Alligator mississippiensis: one gene and its partner. The protein of the gene in region 2 interacts with the protein of the main gene of each other region in a pairwise test. Links are inferred from orthologs where the notes say so. Each region holds a gene or a part of one and is shown on either strand. Other genes may lie near its edges. The genes, in order: YIPF2 and RNF185.

Region 1 (9,907 bases), on a different chromosome or scaffold from region 2:
GACCAAGGGTAGTCACCCTTGCTGCTGAGAATAACCAGGACTTCTGGGAACGGGCTGGGCTCAAGCAGAGTGGAGCTTTAGCCTGGAGGAGAGATTGAGAGCAGGCAGCTGCCATGTGTTACCAACAGGGCTGGTCAGTGTCGAAGGAGCTACAGCGGGTGTGATGGAGCATCCATCTGAACTGGTTTGGGGAGCTGGCTGATGGCTTCACACAGCCCTAGAGGCAAAGAGAAGAGGCTGGTCCTCCAAAGTCTGAAACAGCAGTACAAGGGTGAATCCAAGCTGGTACAGGGTCTCCAGGGGGCTGCACCTGTCATGCCCTGGCATAGAGACCACCGTGCCCCAGGGTCCTGCTCCTCAGAGTCTGTCCCATGTTCCCATAACAGGTGCCTCAGCTGCTGCTTGAAACCCTGGCTGTGGTGGGGATAGAGTTAGGGGCATCTTCTCTGGCCAGGAACTAGGGCACAGGGGGAACCAGTTCTGCCCCATGCCCCCCTGGCCAGCTCTCACCTGCCATCCTTCAGAAACGGAGGGGGGTAGTCATGGAGCTGTTGAGGCGGGGGTGAGAGGCTGTAAGTAGCTGTGCCCCCCCTGGAGCCTTAGTGTAGGCAGAGTGGAGAGGGACAGCATATACTGGCTTCTGGAAGAAGTAGAGCTGCAAGAAGAAATTGAGCGAGAAGTACACATAATGGGGGTGGGGGGACCTGGCTTAGGTCCCTGGTTCCAGATCTGAGGCACGTGCCCCCCCCCCCGGATCTCTAGAGAACAAACACCAGACCCAAACTGAGCAACAGCTGCCATGACCCTGCCCAAGCATAGGTCTCCCCTATTCTGCCCCACAAGATGCTGGGCCTTGGGTACCTTGCAGCCTACAGCCAGTAGCGCGTGGAGGGCGAGGACAATGGTCAGTACAGCCAATGTGGCAGCCCGGCTGTCTAAGCGGATGAGTGGCCAGAAGGTGAGAACTAGCACAGACCCGGAGAGTGTCATAGCGGTGGCGATCAGCAGCCACTGCAGCCAGGAGACTGGAATGAGCCACAGCACCTGCTCAAGACCGGGACAGGGAGGGGGTAAGCATGAGCAAGGATCATGGGCCCCACAGTTCTGAGATGCAGGAGTTGTCCAGGCCAGGATCTGGATGGCACATTCTGGCTCTAGGGAGCCCTGGGGATCTAAGCTGCCTTCATACTTGTGAGTCTACACTGCACCAGGGACCCTGCCTGCAGCTCTGGGCACCCACCACCCAGAAGGTAAACACAGATGGGAGCAGGGCGCCACGTCTGGAGGTAAATAGCAGGGCAGGAGCAAACAGGCTGGAAATTCAGTCTCAGCAAAGACAACTAGCTAAAATGGCTGAGCTGGGCCCAGGGGTTAGAGGACATGGTGCCCATGGCAGAGGGGACAGGGGTGAGTTCCCTACCCCCACCAGCTTCCCAAGAGGGCAGCTCCATGACCAGACTCAGCCTATCCCCTTGGAGGATTTGGGGCCCAGGAAACTCACCGAGGCAGGGATGTACACTGAGAGGGAGTAGCCATAGACGCACACAGTCTCCAGGAGGGTGTAGGAGGCCACATTGAGGCAGACACCCTTGCGCCACTGCAGGTAGCCCCACAGGGCCAGCGGCACCAGCCCCGCATAGCAATAGATGGCAACGCCTGCAATGGTCACTGCCAATGGATGGGCTCCTGTCACCCAGTGCTCTGCGGCCGGCCGGCCAGCCAGCCAGCTGGGGGGGCCTTTTGTGTTGTTCCCCCCCCCCCCCAACAACCACCACCCACGGTACATGCTACAGGCACTAGGACAGCAAAGCAGCCAACAGTGAATCAGCTCAAAGCTGAGACTCAAATGCCAAGAGGTGGGGTCCAGGCCTCCTGGGTTCTCTCCCAGCTGTGGGAAGGGACGGGTCTGGTGGGTTAGAGCAGGGGGAACCGAGGACCTTGACACCTGGGTTCCCCCCACAACTGGGAGAGGAAGGAGGTCTTGTGGTTTGGGGCTGGGAGCCAAGACTCCTAGGTTCTTTTCACTTAAAGCTTTGTGCCTGGCAGGGGTCAAGTTTGCCCAGGAGCCTGGTGGGTTCTCATGGGGCCTGGCCCATGCCTGCCTGTCCCATACCTACCCCTCACCTTTGTGGAACTGGGGGCTGTAGCGGAAGGAGGTGTTGCCATGCTTCTCCAGGAAGTTGGACAGGTTGCCACTGATGGCCAGTGTGAACACCAGCGTAGTGCAGATCCAGAAGGGCCCTGGAAGAGGCCAAGGGTAGTGCGACCTTGAGCCCAGGCTGGGGCAGAAGCCAGAGACCAAAGATGCCCTGCTTTGCTCTGGTTGACGGATGGCACCTGAGCCCTGGGGCACAGGAGGCCAAAAGGGCTCAGCCTGCACTGCCCTGGCCTGCCCCACATCATGGACCCCCTCTGGGCTCACCATACAGGTCAGGGTTGTTCCGTAGATAATGCCGCACAAAGTTCTTCCCTGGTAGTGGAAGCAGCGATCCCTTGATCCTGTCCAGCACCTACAGTGAAGAAAGCAGGAGTGGAGTGAGGCAGGCAGCTTTCTGGGCTCACCAGGCAGCAACCAGAGAGCAAAGCTGCATCCTGGTCCTAGGTGGGGGCTTCCCAATATGATTATAATACATAATGTACAGTCCCTAGTGCAATGGGGCTCTGGCCTGCGACTGAGGCTCTCAGGTGCTACCATACTATACCTAATAATGTACAAAGCCTCTGGGAGCTGAGAAACCCATGAATCTATGGGACTCATTCCTGCCAGCATCTCTAACTGCCTGTGTCAGAATGCTGCCTTCCCACAAGGGCGCAGGCTCCATTACCTGGTAGGTGTCGACATCAAAGAAGGCCTGGTAGTACTCGAAGGTCCAGAAACTTGGTGGCTGCTTCTGGCCGCTCAGCAGCTGCGAGGAAGGGAATGTATGTTACCACGCGGCCCCACCAGCCTTACCCACAGAGAACCCCAAGCACCTCCAACTGTGAGCCCAGCTCCCTCCCAGACCAGTGCACCCCACCCCAGCTGCTCCAAGCAACTGGGATTACCCAGCATGCCAGGCAGGAGCCCCATCTCCAGAGAGAGCCACAACTGAGGTAGAAATACTTGATCTACTTGGACCCCGATGGCTTCCACAGCTAGCAGCAGCTGGGAACAGCCCAGGCACAGCTGCCCAGGCTGGATCTGGACCTAGGGCTGGGAAGTGAAGGGCTCTTTATTCCACTAGTGCACACTCCCTGCCCCAGCCAACCTTGGGCCCGACCTGGAGCCAGCACTCCCCTCCAGACTAGTCCTGCCACCCTCCTGCCCATGCACGCTAGCTTTGCCCCCGACCTCTGTCTTATCGCTCTCATCGCCCTCCTCGTTCTCGTCATAGCTGGAGCCCACATCCAGGGCCACATGGCTCTGCCGCTCACTGACACTGGTGGTTGTTGCATCGGGGGTTGCAGCCAGCAGGTCGGCGGCCTCATCAAATTCTGCAGGGGTAAAGCGCCAGCCATCACAGCCCAGGGCTCAGGGGCCACTGCCTAGTCCAGCCCCTCACTCCTGAGCCTGCACCCTCCCAGTGTCATGCCTTGAAGGAGCTGGGGAGTTCATCACCCTCGTTACGATGATACAGAAGGTACTTCTATCTTGGCCAGAAGGACCCAGGTCCCAGTTTTATGCTCTAACTGCCAGACCACACTGTCTCCATTAGGCAGACCTATTTGTTATGCCCAGAGGAGTGTGGGCCTGGCTCACCCGGGAGCTATAAACCTCCCTCCACTAGGCAAACCTATGAAGACCTAACGAGAGTATTTGGGGCAACGAAAGAAAAAACAAGGAAGGGAGCAGGCTCAAGGGCCGCTAGCAAGTGCTCGGGGGGGGGGGGGGAAGGGGGGGGTGCTGAACAGCACACCAGCCAGCGCCGTGCCCCTTCCCAGGAAAACTGCTGGGATACGCGCGTGGATGAGGGACTGGCAGATGCCCCGCAGACGCCAGGCTCCCTCAGCCAGAGCCTCTCGGCCAGAGGCAGGGGGAGGTTTGCCGGGGGGTACCCGCGGTCCCAGGAGGCAGGAAGCCAAGGGCAGCGGGTCCGTCCCTGCTTCGTGCCAACCGCCCAGTAAGTGCCCGAGGGCGGCGCGGGGCCCGGCCGGGCTCTGGGGGCGCCAGAGCCCCAAGGCCTCGCGGGAGGAGGGAAAACACCTGCTGCAGCCGGGTCCGGTCCCCTCGCGGCCCGGCGGGACCTCCCCGAGGGCGGCCGCCTGCTCACCGTGGAAGCGGAGCTGGTCGGAGGCCGCCATAGCATCAGCGCACCCCGGGCTCCTGGGGGAGACGAAGGCTTGTTACGGCCGGGGGGGGGAGTGGGGGAAACTGAGGCGCGAGCTCCTGAGACACCCCGAGGCGGGGCCCTGCTGTGCAAGGGGAGCACGACAGGGAGGAGTGACGTGTCCTGGCAAAGCCGGGCACCCCCCGCTCCAGTGCTGCGTGTCCCTTTCTCCGGCCTGGCCGCGCGCACTCCCGGGGGGGGGGGGGGGGGAAAGGAAAGGGGAACCGCCCCCCCCCCCCCCGAGCTCCGGGATGGTTTCGTCCGGTCCGGCACCACTTCCCCTCCGGCCGGAAACAGTTTCCGGTTGGCGCCATGGCGGTGGTAGCAGACACCACGAGCGGCGCGGGACTCGATCGGGGGGGCAGGCGCGGCTTCTGGGGGCGGCTCGGCGCTAGCCGCCTGGGTAGGTTGGAGGGGGAGGGCTCCTGGGTTCCTGGGGCTAGGGCCTGGCAGCTCGGACGCCTGGGTTCTTCCGGGGGGGAGGCAGCGGCCCGGGTTCCCACGGGAGGAGGGGCTGGCGCAGGGCCTGGCAGCCCGGACTTCTCGGTTCTAATCCCGGCCCCGCGCGTAGCTGCAGGTCCCTCCCAGAGCGTCGGCTTCCCCAGCGCGGGCACCCGCCGCCCCTTGGTGGGCTGGGCCCTTGATAGCCAGCAGCATCTGACCTTGCTGCCCCTGTGCAGGCCAGTGGTGGAAGAGCCTCCTGCACGATTATGTGGAAGCCTGTAAGGAGGTGGTTGTGGGTGCCCGGCAACGGCCCGGGAAAGCCGGGCTTTACCTCTCGGTGCTGGCCGGGGCAGCCGCCTGCAGCCTCCGCATCCCCAGCGACACCTCCTTCGATGCCTCCCTCCTCGAGGCCTCTGGCACCCTGCTCCTCCTCTCCCCCTGGGTCTGCAACACCACCTCCAAGGGCCACGTTCAGCGCCTGATGCAGCTGAGGAACTGGGGGCAGCTGCGCTACCAGAGCCTGGTCTTCTTTTCCCTGGTGTATGAGGCCCCTTTCGACGCAGAGACCGACCTGTACTTGGCTCAGTGCAAGCACCTGCAGCCGCGCTGGACAGAGTTTCCAGGCCGCATCCTGGATGTGGGGTTCTGGGGGCGCTGGTGGGTTTTAAATGCCAAAATGAAGGACTCTGACATCAATGATGAGGAGTTCCAGAACCTTCCAGAGCAGCTCCGCATCATCTCCTTCCAGAACCTCCACTCGGAGACTAATGAGAGACTGTTCGGCGAGAAATACAAGCCTGTTGTCCTGACAGAGGAACAAATCGAGCAGGCAGAGAGGGAGATGCAGCCACTGCCTCAGGGGGTCACAAACCAGTAACCTGAACCAAGCAGCGGTTGCTTGAGCCAGGGTGGATATGGAAGCTCAGATAGGTTTTACTATGGGATTGTTTCTTGTTGGACCCCTCAGCCTTGTTGCATGCTGATTTCCCAGCCTTGGTGGCACTGGCATTCAATAAAGAGGATGCGGAGGCTCTTACGTTTGCTGTGATTTTTGTACTAACCTATGGGATGCGTTATCCATGGGCTTGCCTTGCCTCTTGTGGGTACCATGCCAACCCAGTGCTTAGAGCAGTGATTCTTGATTGGGACCCTGCACCACTCTGGGGCATCTTAAGATCCTTTCAGAGGTGCTACACAATGTTAGTGCTGTTAGACATGCAAACAGGATTGACAAGATAAGCAGAAAGGTTTCAAGTATTAATCCAGAGTGGCAAAATGTTCTGACCTGTTCAGATCTTTCTGTGTTTTCTGCAACAGAAAAACTGCTCCGTGATTTTTGTGTAAGAAAAATCAAGTGGAAGCTAAGAGCTGACCTCTTCCAAGGTTCTATCAAGGTGTGCCTTGAATTGAAGAAGGTTGAGAACCACTGGCTTAGAGGTGTTCCAGGGTAATGTCGCTCCATAGGGCTTCTGTCTCTTCTAGATGAGTTCAGATCCAGTGCTCAGAGGGGAGACTGGTAACAGGGACCCATGTGCTCTTGAAAATGGTACAGGTGGCATGTACAGGCACGCTCCTTTCTGAGCTGCTGCTGCTGCCCCCAGTGCCCAGCCCAGTTTTGGGGGGCAGGGCAGGTGAGTCATAAAGGGAAGCCTTTGCTTTTGGGTGGATAATCCGCTAGGGCCCACGTGACTTTTGCAGCTCTGTGATAGTTGGAATGAGGTGAAACCAAAGCCCCTGGTCACTGGGGAGTATTTGAGGCTCCAGGGCATCTGGGGCAACATCAGCCAAAACGTCTGTTTGGGGTGGAGGTGGCCCAAGCAGCATCACTTCCAAGGGGGCTGGTCTTGTTTGCCTTCTATCCTCTGCATAGAGCCTCAGCTGTATTGTAGCCCCCAACCCAAGTCTGAGCCTTCTGTCAGCTCCTCAGGGAACAGCAGAGGGTGCTAAAGAGCTAAGGAAAACTCCTTGGTACTGCTGCTCTCAGACAAAGGTGCAGAGATTCCCACTGCAGTTCTCCCTGAACCTGGAGGCAGCCCAGGGGCATGGACCTGCTATGACTTGGCGGGCAGTGCACAGTTCACAGGCATTTAGAGAAGCCCCTTATGGAGCTGCTAAGACTGAAAAAGGTGTCTCTTGCTAGCCCAGAGTACAACAGAAGTGGGTCGGGAAAGAAACAGGCACTTACCTCTTTTGGTGAAGGGGTGGCAGAGAAAGCAAAAGATAAACTGAGTTCCCCAAGACAGGATGGCTGTTCTGCACCTGAGCTGGAACAAGAAGGCAACATTCAGGAGCTGGTTGGGCTCTTAAAATATCCTGTTCTAATGATTTATTAACCTATTGAATAATTGATTGAGCAACTGCAGGAGCTGGGGTCTTAGAGGCATCTGCTGCCTAGGGATTTCTGTTTGATTCTCTTTGATTGTGATGGCTCAGCCTACGCTCCAGCTCTTTTAAAGATGAATGAGAGACACTGACAGTGGGGGGAGGGGTTGAGCCCATGCACACAGCTTGGTGTTCTGGGCTCTGTGAAGTGCCCTCTTCAGCCAACATAACAATGCAGTGGGGGTAGAAATGGCCCCTTGAGAACTCTGCTGTGCTGGGGCTTCCCCAGCTGGTACAAGAGCCCCATACCCAAGCCCAGAGGTAGGGGGTAAACCATAGGTGTGGTCTGTTGTCACTGTTCTCTGTTCCCCAGGAAGTAGAGTGAGAGTGAGCAGCTTTTGGACTGCCCTTGAGTTTGGGTGGGAGGGGGGGGCAAAGAGAGAGCTTCATGCTGCCTTCCTCCACCCACTTCTTGCTTCCCCAGCCAGGGGGCAGGGAGTCAAGACCTGGATCTACAATGCATGCAGCATGTGTGTGAGAGAGAGGATTAGGGCTCATCTGCCCAGAAAAGTTATTCCAATTCAAGTGGGCCATGAATTTAAAGCAGAAGAGCTTGTCTAGAAAAGACACAAATGGAATAGTAAAAGCAGAAGTGTTGCATGCATGACATACCTAGAGATAAATGCAGTGTGTGCATAGTGACAAAGCACAAGGTAAATATTACCCAGGAACTTTCCTTTCTGTCCTCTCAATCTCTGCATGGCATTCCAGCACTGGGACATCTTGACTTGCTGCTGCTGCTGCCGCCAGTTCACTAGTAAATCCATCTGCAGCTCTGGCTTGTGTAAAAAAGTGGGGGGAACAAACATTAGCACTGCAGTCCTGGTTTGCGCACACACTCAGTCCTTTCAGTACCAAAGTGCTTTCAAAAGGCCAAAATACTGCCTAGCCCTCAGCTTGGAGGTAACTGCCCATAAACAGAGAAGGGAAATTGGTGCTTTAGTAGCCAAGGGTTCCCATCTTGGTTTTTTTGCTGTTCTCATTTGGTTATGGCTCCTGGCTGCTTAATTTCATGCTGTTTGACTGGTTTCTCAAGCAGGCCTTTCACTTACTAGCTTCCCTTTCTACTTTGGGGAGCTTGGTTCCTTTATTAAAAACCTGGTTCTCTTTAGCAAAGTTGGACCTTACACAGCTTGTAATAGGCCTTGTTCTAGTCTCCCCAGTTTTCTGTCCTCTGGAGAAATGGAGGACCCAGGTGAGCAAAAGCAAGATAAATGACAAGTGTGTATAGTAGTCACATCAGGCTGTGGCCAGGGAAAAGATTGATTTGTGCACCCTCAGCCTTTTTTTTTTTTTTTTTTATTTAAAGGAGTCTGTCAGGTGCTCTGGAAATAGAGGTTCCCAGATAGAACAACAAAAAACAAAGCAAGGAGGGTGTTAAAATACTTCTAGTGTCTAAAGCCCCCAACATGTAAGGGAGGGAAGCATTTATTCATGAGTAGCTCTGAGGTCACACTTCAGGAGGGGGCTTCTAGGTATCACTGGCTTTGCAGATGCAGGTCCTGGTGTTAGTTGTGACCCAAATAACTTGCTGCGTAGCAGTACTATGTGACATGGGGACAAATCTGGCATGGTAGAGCACTCCATTATAAGCATTTCTAGTCTCATCCCCAGACTGGATAAACTCCATGCTCCTATTGGAGCCAAATTTGCATCCAATTCAGAATTGAGTCAGAGGCTTGAGCTCAGCCACAGTAATTTTGATCATGTCTTTCCATTGCGTGTTTTAGTAAGAGTTATAGGCCCATCTGTTTAAAAGTAAATTGATTTGTTAGGAATACGTTCACAGGTTTTTAAAATAGTTTTATGCAAGGCATGCAAATATGAAATGTCTCCTCAAACAGTTCTTGAATAATTAATTCAGGTTACATGATCAGATAGTGAATCCTACGCATACACCTATAACAGAGTTAGCAAAGAAACTCCTCTAAGCTTTGAAATCCCTTCCTTAAAGGGGTGATTCCTGCTAACAAAATCACATCCTCTGTGGATCCTTCCTTCCACTGTATCGACAGAGAAATGATCTGGAAAATTAAAACATTTTCAGCACAAAATAATGTGTGTGCGCTCTCTAAAATGTAAGGGGGGGGAGGGGGATTGTTAGAGTCCTTGGATTTAATCCTGATATTCTGAAAGGATGTGGGAGGTAATGGTTGAAGCAGCATTTCTCATTGCTTTTGGGTTAGCAGCCCCTTGCTTAAAGTAAAAAAAAATGTTCATGATCTCTCTGCATCTACTGAAAAAACATTAAAAACATATAGGCTTTGTGATAATGTGTGAGGGGGTGCATGTGTGCGTGGAGGTGGATATGGAACCTTTTGACCTTGGAAGGTGAGGGGGCAAGATTTTCTTTGCTTTGGAACATGATAAAATAGTCAGCCTTTCCTAAACATCTCAGGATAGTCTGTAAGGACCCACCTGCCCCAGGGGTCACTGTTGGCCTGGGAGAAACACCAGCATAGAGTGACAATATGAAACTCAGGACTGAGGAGCAGGATGGTTCACCTCCCATGTAAAGCTTTGTTAACTAGAAGCTTTTCTAAAGCATTACTTAATTATCAAGGACTGAGTAGAGGTGGAGAGGGTTTCCAGGCTGGGGATATAACCAGAATGGAAAGGTCTGGAGGTTTTTGGTTTGTTGTTTTTTGTTTGTTTTTTTTAATGAAAGGTCTTAATTTTCTCTTTATCTCCTTTCCCAAGCCTTCTAATAATTTTTTTCCCCTTCTGGCACGACTGTGACAAAGCAAAGAAAGGCCAGTGAGAGATGGACTTCA
Region 2 (9,364 bases):
GCATGCAAAAACTTTGATGGAAAGACAGCAGATGAAAAATAATTCAGCATGTGAGATAGAGAGGATAATACCACTTAAATTATAAATGATATTTCCAGGATATATAGTTATAGCAGTATCAGAATGTTACTTTTTTCAAAAGCATTCAAAATAAATGCTTTCCAACTGGGATCTATGTCACTGACTAGATGCCAACACTACATATTTTATACTAGGGCTGTCAAACATTTAAAAAATTTGATTAAGATTAGTTGCACGATTAAAAAAAAAAAACTAGTCGCAATTAGTTGTGATTTTAATCGCACAGCTAAAAAATAAAATTATATGCAAAAGAACTCAAAATTATGCAGGACTTTGTATGGTTGGGGGTGCGTGTGGAGGGCTGTGGGTGTGTGTGTGGAGTTTGGAGCCTGAGGAGGGGGGATCCCTGCATGCCTTGGGAGGATGCAGGGTGCTGTGGGGCAGGAGTGAGGGGCAGCAGCAGGGCTGGGAGGGCTACGGTTTGGGAATGAGAAGTACAGTCACAGACACATGCACAGCGCCTGGAGGCTATGTCTGTGGAGGGGCGATCAAGGTTCCTACAGTGAGGGGCTCCCTGCCACTGCACGCAACTGTGGAGGAGGAATAGTGGGCACATGCCCCCTGATTTGTGCATGGGGCAGAGCTGGGGTTAATGGGGCCATGGGGCCAGGGCAGGTCACGGGACAGTCACAGGAGGCTTGTCCAGGGGTGCCCGGGGGCATGGTTCCCTGCCACTGTGTGTACCCCCAGGGGAGGCATGGGGGCCACCCCCCCCACAATTTGTGTGCGGGACAGAGGCAGGCTGCCGCTGCAGGTTGGGGCTCTATGCCTTTCTGCCTTTGCCCCAGGAGCTGCAGTATGCCACGATGTGCGTCCGACAGCTGGGAGGGTAGGGAACATGTGGCCAGCATGTGGCTCCCTGGGCAAAAGCAGCAGAGTGCAGAGTCCCAGCCCACAGCGGGCAGCCTACCTCTGCACATGACCCCTATCCCTCTCCCACGGTTGCATGCAGCGGCAGGGAGCCAAGCCCCCGTGCACCCCTGGATAAGCCTCTCGTGGCTCTGGCCCACAACCCACCCCGGCAACAGGGCCCTATTCACCCCAGCCCCTACCCCACTTCCTCCCTCACCATGGGGTACTTCATCTGCCATGCCCCTTCCTTTTCCCCCTACCTCTCCCCCGCTACAGAATTATGGTGCAGCACTGCTGTACACACAGCGTGCAGGCCGCAGCTGCTGGTATGCATCTGTCCTTGCACCTCCCCCCACACCCCATGCACTGCAGCCACTTGGGCTGCCCTGCGGTCTTTTGTGCTGCCACCACTGTCCCGCTAGGCAACCTGGAGTTGGTGGATTGGAGCCCAGAAGCAGGCTCCAAAACCATATGCGCAATATAAAAAAATTAATGCAGGAACTGATTAACGCATTAATCGCACACATTAACTGTGATGATAGCCCTATTTTATACTTCTTGTTGCTATGTACATGAAATATGAAATCAAAAGGGATCCTGTCAAGTTAACAATTCTGTTTAGCAAAATGAATACAAAACTTCTAATGAGTTGCACTTTGTTATATCTGAGATTATAATAAACTGAAGGAATTTTTAAATCAAGTTTGCTTTTCATTACGAATTCTATTGTATTTAGTTTCTGAACCCCCCTCAACTTGAGCAATGAAAGTGAGTTCGATCACTTTCTCATGTACTAACACAGCAATTAAAATTTAAAAAAACTGTCATTAACAGTAAAAGCATCAGGAAACCTTTCTTTTCAGACTGTTTGTAACATGTAGCCCACACAAACAACAAAACACCAATATGAAAAATAAACTGAGTTCCCTGAACTTTAAGTGTGATAAACATGTGGTCAGAAATCACTTTTTTGCCCCACAAAAAACTATAAGTATATTCAGTGCTGTAGCAACAAGGTTTGGTGCCTGGGGCAAAGCCCGTAGCGGCAGTCCACTCTTGCCCCAGACACAGATCTGGGGGGGGCACACCCTCCCCTCTATGCTTACTTGGGAGTGCATGCAGTGGCAGGAGCTGCCCTCCCCCCCATCCCTGTGCCTCCCCATACGAGCTGCTTGCAGTTCTGTCCTGCACACTGACCCGGCTGGGCAGTGCCTCTTGGCGCCCCTTCATTTTGGTGCCCAGGGCGGTCACCCCACTCTCCCCGCCTTGCTAGGGCACTGAGTTTATTCCTTGATGTTCATTTTATGATATTCATGACATGTACATAACTGAGGCAATCCAACTTGTTAATTATTAAACACATATTTATCTACTTGTTAAGGGACAGGGGATGGATGAAGAGAAACAAACAGGTTATGCTTTAACTTGCTCTTTAGACAGACATTCCAGATTCCTGTGTTTGTATGTTGCTCTGTCCTATACACATTTCAGTTATTCAATCGGTGGTTCTTACAGATAGTTTGCATTTTAGTGTAAAGTACTATCCCAGCCTGGATCCATGAACCAATACACAACCTTATTTAATTTCTTCATAGACCTGTGCTCAAGAACCTGACAGAAGTTGGAGGCCTACATTTAAAGGGTGCTTTGGGATCCACTGAAATTAAAGGTGCTTCACAAATGCAATGTTATTGTCAGTATACAATGTACAGTGAAACCATATGAACTACAACCCATCAGAAAATAAACTGAAGAGATGGAAATAACTAAATCACATTTTATCCTCTTTGTCTTCCATCCAAAAGAGAATAAATTCAGACAGAACTTGGAACAACACTTATCCAAAAGCACCCTTGCTTGCTTGCTTTGTTTTTTGTTTTTACCTGGGCACATCCAAGGAATAAAGCAAAACTGCTTTAACCAGTTTGATAACACAACCCGGATATTTTTCCTGGCAGTAGAGCATGAAGGAATTAACTTACTAAAAGCAAACATTCTTTAAGGAGTTGATGTGGACAATGGATAAAGATCTCTATAGGCTGACCAAGGAGATTTTGCTTGACACTTCTAAACACAATAAAGAAGTATTTAGTTTATTTTGTGCAGATCAGGAAATGCTGAACAATCCCAGAAGATAACCTGGCTATGCCAGCCCCATCTGACACACAGGGCTAATGTGGGCTGAACACCCATGGAGCAGTGGTTAGCCCCTCCCTGTTATTAGGGAAGTCTACTGGGTATAGGTCAAGTTGTTTGGGGGTATAGCTAAAGAGAAAACGGGATAGGAGTGAGATCATTGCTCAATACAAGCGCGCCAAGGTGGGACAGTGAGCAGGGCAAACGGCCAGTGCCCAACAACCCTCAAATGAGTCCAAGAAGCCAGTGGGCACTTCCCAGTGAAACTCTGCCCAGAGGCACCAACCGACAAGGGACAGGCCTACAGGCCTATTTGCTGCTTTCAAGGGACTGTGGGCCATTGCCCACCAAGAAAAACCATACACCTCCCTTAAAAAGGGAAGCCCCTGAGAAAGTAACAATTCATTTCTTGGGAGAAAACACAAAAGAACACAGGGAAGGAGGAAGATCACAGGTTCAAAACATGAGACCCGGATGAGCCGAGCACACCCGACGGTGCCCGATGCCCCGGCTCAGAGGCAGGAACCGACAAGGGACAAGACAGCGCCCGGGGGCCCTTCCTGTCAGCCCCGCCCGGCTGGGCCGCGAGGAGGCCCCCAGCTACGCCCGGCTCTTACGCCCCACAATCCCACATCGGAGCTAAACACGCGCTACAGCAAACCCCATTCAGTTGCCTACGGGATGTTTTGCTCCCGGGGCTCAATTCGCTGCCGATGCAGTCGCTCCCGGGGACCCCCGGCCCCGCTGCCCCCATCAGAGCTGCCCCGCGAGCGGCCAGGGCGGAGCGCCACGTCCCAGCCCGCGGGGCGCTCCCCGCCGAGCCCAGCACCCGAGGCCGAGCCCTCGGCGCCCGCGCTGGATCCAGCCTCTCGCCGGCGCCGCCCCGAGCCCTTGGCGGACCCCACAGAATAGGAGAGGACAGGACAGGACAGGACTCCCCGCCGCGCTCACCTGTGGGGCTCGGGCCGCTCCCGCTCGCGCTCGGCCCCGGCGGCCGTCACCTGACTCCCCGGAAGCCCGCCCCGCCGGGAAGGGACCGGCCGCTCCGCCGCCGCGCCGGGCTGCAGCGCTGGGGTTCCGCGGGAGCCGGGGCCGGGCGGAAGTCTCCCCCTCATGGGGCTACGGAGGAGCCGCCACCTACGGACGGGCAGCGCCCGGCTCCATTCCGTCCCTTTCCACAGAGGAGAAGGCGGGAGACGGGGAGCAGGCGCCGGGGCCGAGGGAAAGGCCCGAGCCTGCAGCGCCTGGGGAGGGAGCAGCAGCCGGCGGCACCTGCGGCACCTCCCTGCTGCCCCGGGGCATCCCCAGCCCCGAAGGGATGTGCACAAAAGCAGAGCGCTGGGGACAAGGGCCTTGGGGTGACCGTCACCTGGCTGAGGGGCGGCCAGTGCTGCCCCGGCGGCCGGGCCAGGGCTCCTCAGAGAGGCACCAGACCCAGTCTGTGGAAGGGCAGGATGGGGGCCTCTGAATGAGAGCTTCCCTCCTCCATCAACCATGGAAGCTGCAAGTGAGAGAGAAACAGTGGGAAAACCCCTGGTTATACCCAGTCCTCTCTCCCTTTCAGCATCTGTGCTGCCAGGTGACAAAGGCTACTGGGCTGGATGGCCCTGTGGTCTGACCCGGTAAATGGCAATCCATGTCAGTGTTCTTATGCATGTCTAGAGCACGTGCCAGAAGGAGGCCTGAGCCAGAGGCACTGCCTGAGACTGACCCAGGGACTAAAGGGAGAGCTTAAAACCACACAGGCCCAGTGTATGGATTCAAACACAGCAGAGCAGACTGCGTAGCCCCCAGCCCAGAAGCAGGGAGGTCAGCATGGCCAGTTATTGCCCAGTGGTCACCCTCAGCTCCCTCTGCTGCTTGCCACATTGCCCCCAGCAGTCTTTCCTGCCCAGAGTAGGAGGGCTGGACCCAATGCCCCTTCTAGTCCTAACCTTCTGTGAACCTGTTAACTTGGTGAATCTCTTGATAAGAGCTGTGACATTTAGTTGTGCCAGGGAAGGAAGCCATGCTAAAAGCCTTAGAATTGCCCTCAGTAAAAGTTTCTAAGTCCACAGTGACAGTATCACCAAAAAAACCTAGATTGGGATATGAATGTATCACACTAACAACTGAGGTGGAGATGTGAACAATATCTAGAATGGAGAGCTATGCTATTACAAAAGTTTTAATCCTGCCCTACATCATAAAGCTCAGCTAGTTACCTTGGTTATATTTGCTCTGTTGGAGAATTTGTCAGACAGTCAAATCTAACATCTGACTCCCCACGTAAACCCTCTACTTTACCAGCTACTCTCATTCCCTTCCCCCCTACCCTCCTGTCTCCCATCCTTTCACTACAGCTATATTCATTCCCCCTTCCCCTCCCACCTGTCTCTCACCTACTGACCACTTAAATTTACATTTAACTGACTAGCTTTCTTGCATAAAAGTACTGGTCTCTGGCTGCTTTACCATGCCATCCAGGAAGAACACAGACCATCTGCAGATGCTTCCTCAGTCTGACAAAGGGTGTTTGTGCCCAAAAGCTTGGTAAGAAGAATTTTTCAAACTATTTGGGGGAGGGGGGGGTGTTAATTTTCCATATTCCAAGCCAAATTAGCCAAAACAAATTCCAAATTCAAGAGTTGGTCCAGAACCATAAGTGTCCCTACTACCAGCAAACATCTTCCACCCACACCTGGGGCTTCAGATGTTTCCAAAACCTTTGGCGGGCATCCTACTTGCAAGCCCAAGCCCAGAGGCTTGGGGTTCAGATGCCCCCAAGTTTTGCTTGCCCTCAGCCATAGGACCTCAGGGGCAAGCCAGGGAGGACACTTAAATTTCCATAAAGTGGGCTTAAAGCCAAGACCTTCCCACTCCAGCAGCTAAGTGGGAGGTTTATTATACATTACCTTGGCAAGTACTATCCCTGTGCCAGGAGAGCAGTTTTCCCTAGTGTGACTAGGAAGGACTGCCTCCATAGTCATGGTGTTTCTCTTGCCAGGCAAGCATAGGTCTATGCTTGATCTGAGCCCATAAGAGTTGGTCTAATAAGAGATACTGGATTTACCCAAAGAATCTTGTCAGACAGGCCAAACTCCTGTATTCAAGTCGAGTCCGTCCCAAGGCTGCTGCGATTGTTGGAGCACCTTAGATGCTGTAACAACCCTCCTTTACTGCACTCTGTCTGGATGCAGTCGTAGACCCAGGCCTCGACCAATCTGGTATGAGATTAATTGAGTTGATTTGCATCATTGATTATTCATTGGGCAAAGTGACCTGCTGGCACCCATCTCCTCTCCAGGTACAGATAGTTGTTGGCTTGCAGGAAGCTCATCCACCTTTGACAGGTCTTGTTTTCAGTCCTGCTGGGTGTCCACACACCCTCCTCACCCAGGCTAGCACAGGTGGGAGTGCTCGTTTAGTTGACAACAACCCGACCATAGAACAGGCTGTACTGGTTTACATGGTACCAGATAGAAGGCCAAGAGAGGTCTGGCCTAACAGGAAACTCCTGTATTACAGTTGTAATATTCTGAGAAGCATGAGATTGGCTTGGGACATCAGTGTTTCAACAACATTTCAGTACTTGGATGTTATATCAAATTAGTGAGATGTTACACAGGCCCTGAAGGTATTTGTGGGATTATGAGATCACCCTATTAGAGCTGGAATGAGCCAGGTGGCAATCAGTGCAGCTAGTTACTGCTGCAGAAATTTCTTATTGAATATTGTTACAAAATAAACAGATTTTCTGTAGTATTATGAGCATGAAAGTAAGTAATGTGCTCAAAATGTTCTCTGTTGCTTTGACATTTTGTGGTAACTATACAACTCACTTAAAAGCAACTTTAGACAGCTTACTGAGGGAATCTTGTCAATGCAAATGATAGTTGCAAGTTATAATGTTAGGCTATCTAAAGAATGATTCTATTTCTGCCTCACATAAATATTTAAAATACACTCTCACTATATACATCCATAGCATTTACTCACTAGATTACTAGCCAACATTTATTTCTTAAACTAGAAGAGATTCAGAGTTGGACAGCAGTATGATAAGCATTCTTTCCTTACAAAAAAGAGGCTGAAAAAATTAAGCAAGTTTAGAGACAAGGTTAGTAAAAGGAGACAGTAATTTTGAACCCTGAAGAATCTGGAGAGGATAAATGAGGCTTTCCCATCTATTCCCATAATAACATTTGCAAGGAGCAATTAAATGGAATAGCAACAAGTTAAAAAATGTTGAAAGGCAGTATTTTCCTCATTGAATACAAGTTGGATTCAAAGGATTACCATGTCATACGTTTGTAAAAGCTTTCAGATGAACACTGGATAGGGTAAACATATATAAGGGGTACAACCCCATGTTCCAGGGCATTTGACAGCCTAAGATTATAGGAAAGTATGTGCCACATCTACTAAATCAGCCCTCATGTGTATTGCTATGCCTTGATTTCCTTCCTCAGGGTGTGATACTCAATAGACTGCCAAACAATTCAAGGTAAATAATCCTTCACCTTGTCAGGGCTCTTTCAGGGTCTAGCATCAGTGCTTTTCCACTGTCATTCTTCCCAGTATTCTCCCATACTATTAGTATTTTTAGCACAGTAGTATATTCATGGCCTCATGTAAACACAATTGACAATATCACCCTTTTTACCCTACATCTTTTCAACAGCCATGCTAGCTCATCTATTTCCAGTCTTTCCTTGAACCTTTCTTTCTAGGTGGACATGGAAAGCCTTCTCCAGGAACTGTTACTCACTTCATGAATCTCTCTTGGCCTGAAGGATCTTACCTGTTTCCTGCAGGTGACATGCTTGCTTTCAAACATTTTTTCTAGGATGGCAGTTCTTATCTGCCTTTTTAATTATATTTCCAAGCACTGCCATAATGACAAGCTTACAACAAACATCCTGAACAATTTGTCCTATATAAGCACACATTACAGGTTTCTCTCACTTTATGCAGGTTCTGTATGCAAATTTGCTCTTATGTGATGACCCTTTTTATACCAAACATTTGTTATATGCAATGTAAATTCACTGTTATGCATCTGCATGGTGGAAACCCACAGTCAGCTGTTTTCTGCAGTGCATTGTGGGAGTGACGAGCACCAAAATATAGTCTCCTGTGTGGAGCTGTGTTCCTTGCTTGTTATCTGCAACATATGTTTCTGTAGTTGCCATCCTTATTATAATAATGCCCTGTGCTTGTTGTGTGTACTGTCTTCTGTGGGAAAGTACCAAAATTGTCTTGTAAAAGTGGTAGAAATGGGTCTGGGAGTCAGTACAGTCAAGGTCTTGGAACATATCCCTATTTGCTACATTGTAAAGTGTGTTCCCTTTATGCAAATTCAAGTTATACACCATTTTCCAGGAACACATGTACAGCATAAAGCGTGGGAAACCTACATATAAATGTCAGATTAAAGTTTTTTACACTATGCTCTGAAGTATCTGGTACTCCTCACTGGCAGACATAACAATGGACTAAAACTTCTATCTTGATTCATATGTATTATTAGGAACATAAAGATTTCCATTAAGAAAGTGTAAAACTACCAGGTAAAAGAAATAGCTGCATAGCATACTGTGAGTCATTAGGAAAGGTCCAAATACAATTAAACGTATTGACTAAAAGAGGCTGGGAAAGCAGTTCTCCACTGTTTTCTGTCTTCAAATAATTTGGTTCTTTTTAATTTTGCTCTTAAATGTTAGCATGTTTGGAGTCCCTGGAACGCAAAATCCCATGTCTATGTGCATGCTAGTTACAAGAAGCACAGGTGGTGACAATGTAGACTTTCTTTGCATGGAAAAAATATACCTAATGTATTTCTTCATACATGGATTAATGACTGTCTACCTGTTGCATTTTCCACATCTTGACAGAGTCCTCCAGGAATTTTATGTGCCCAAGCACACAACATTGTGCAAAGCAAAACCCCAAACCATCTGTCAGAAATGGAAGAGAACAACACAAATCTCCAGTTGACATCTCCCTGCCAATGGCAGGACTGTTGGCTAGTGCACATTTTCTAGCATCTCTATCATATCGCATATGTCTGTCTCTTCAGTTTTGAAAGACCCAGGCAGCATGTCTGTCCCCATCTCTTGCTGGGACAAGTCTTGCTGTCTGAGTACTCATCCTTGATATTCAGCCTCTATCTTCCCTTCTTACATTTATTCCAGGACTCAGCACTCAACTCCTTTTCATCTGTTGCCTTTACACCCCTGGGCCCTTGCCAGACTTACTGCCAGCAGGCTCTTTGCCTAATTTGTCCTTGAGGACTCCACTGCTGCTTCCCAGC

The links.
Region 1: the proteins of RNF185 (region 2) and YIPF2 interact in binary tests that used the Homo sapiens proteins (3 or more experiments, as listed by UniProt). The two-hybrid records come from large-scale screens. The link is inferred for Alligator mississippiensis from reciprocal best matches to the Homo sapiens genes RNF185 and YIPF2.

The regions. Positions count from the first base shown.
Region 1 is NC_081831.1:23,570,490-23,580,396, reverse strand, and holds the start of YIPF2 (protein YIPF2), read right to left. Parts: upstream 4,506-9,907; 5' UTR 4,287-4,505; coding exon of another isoform or gene 4,282-4,286; coding exon 4,251-4,281; intron 3,475-4,250; coding exon 3,332-3,474; intron 2,907-3,331; coding exon 2,826-2,906; intron 2,511-2,825; coding exon 2,423-2,510; intron 2,242-2,422; coding exon 2,125-2,241; intron 1,669-2,124; coding exon 1,502-1,668; intron 1,045-1,501; coding exon 862-1,044; intron 656-861; coding exon 521-655; 3' UTR 511-520; intron 415-510; exon of another isoform or gene 253-414; 3' UTR 1-252. Other genes in the region: TIMM29 (mitochondrial import inner membrane translocase subunit Tim29), read left to right, coding at 4,620-4,710, 4,988-5,628.
Region 2 is NC_081833.1:20,567,076-20,576,439, forward strand, and holds the start of RNF185 (E3 ubiquitin-protein ligase RNF185), read right to left. Parts: upstream 4,185-9,364; 5' UTR 4,021-4,184; intron 1-4,020. UniProt on the Homo sapiens protein: E3 ubiquitin-protein ligase that regulates selective mitochondrial autophagy by mediating 'Lys-63'-linked polyubiquitination of BNIP1.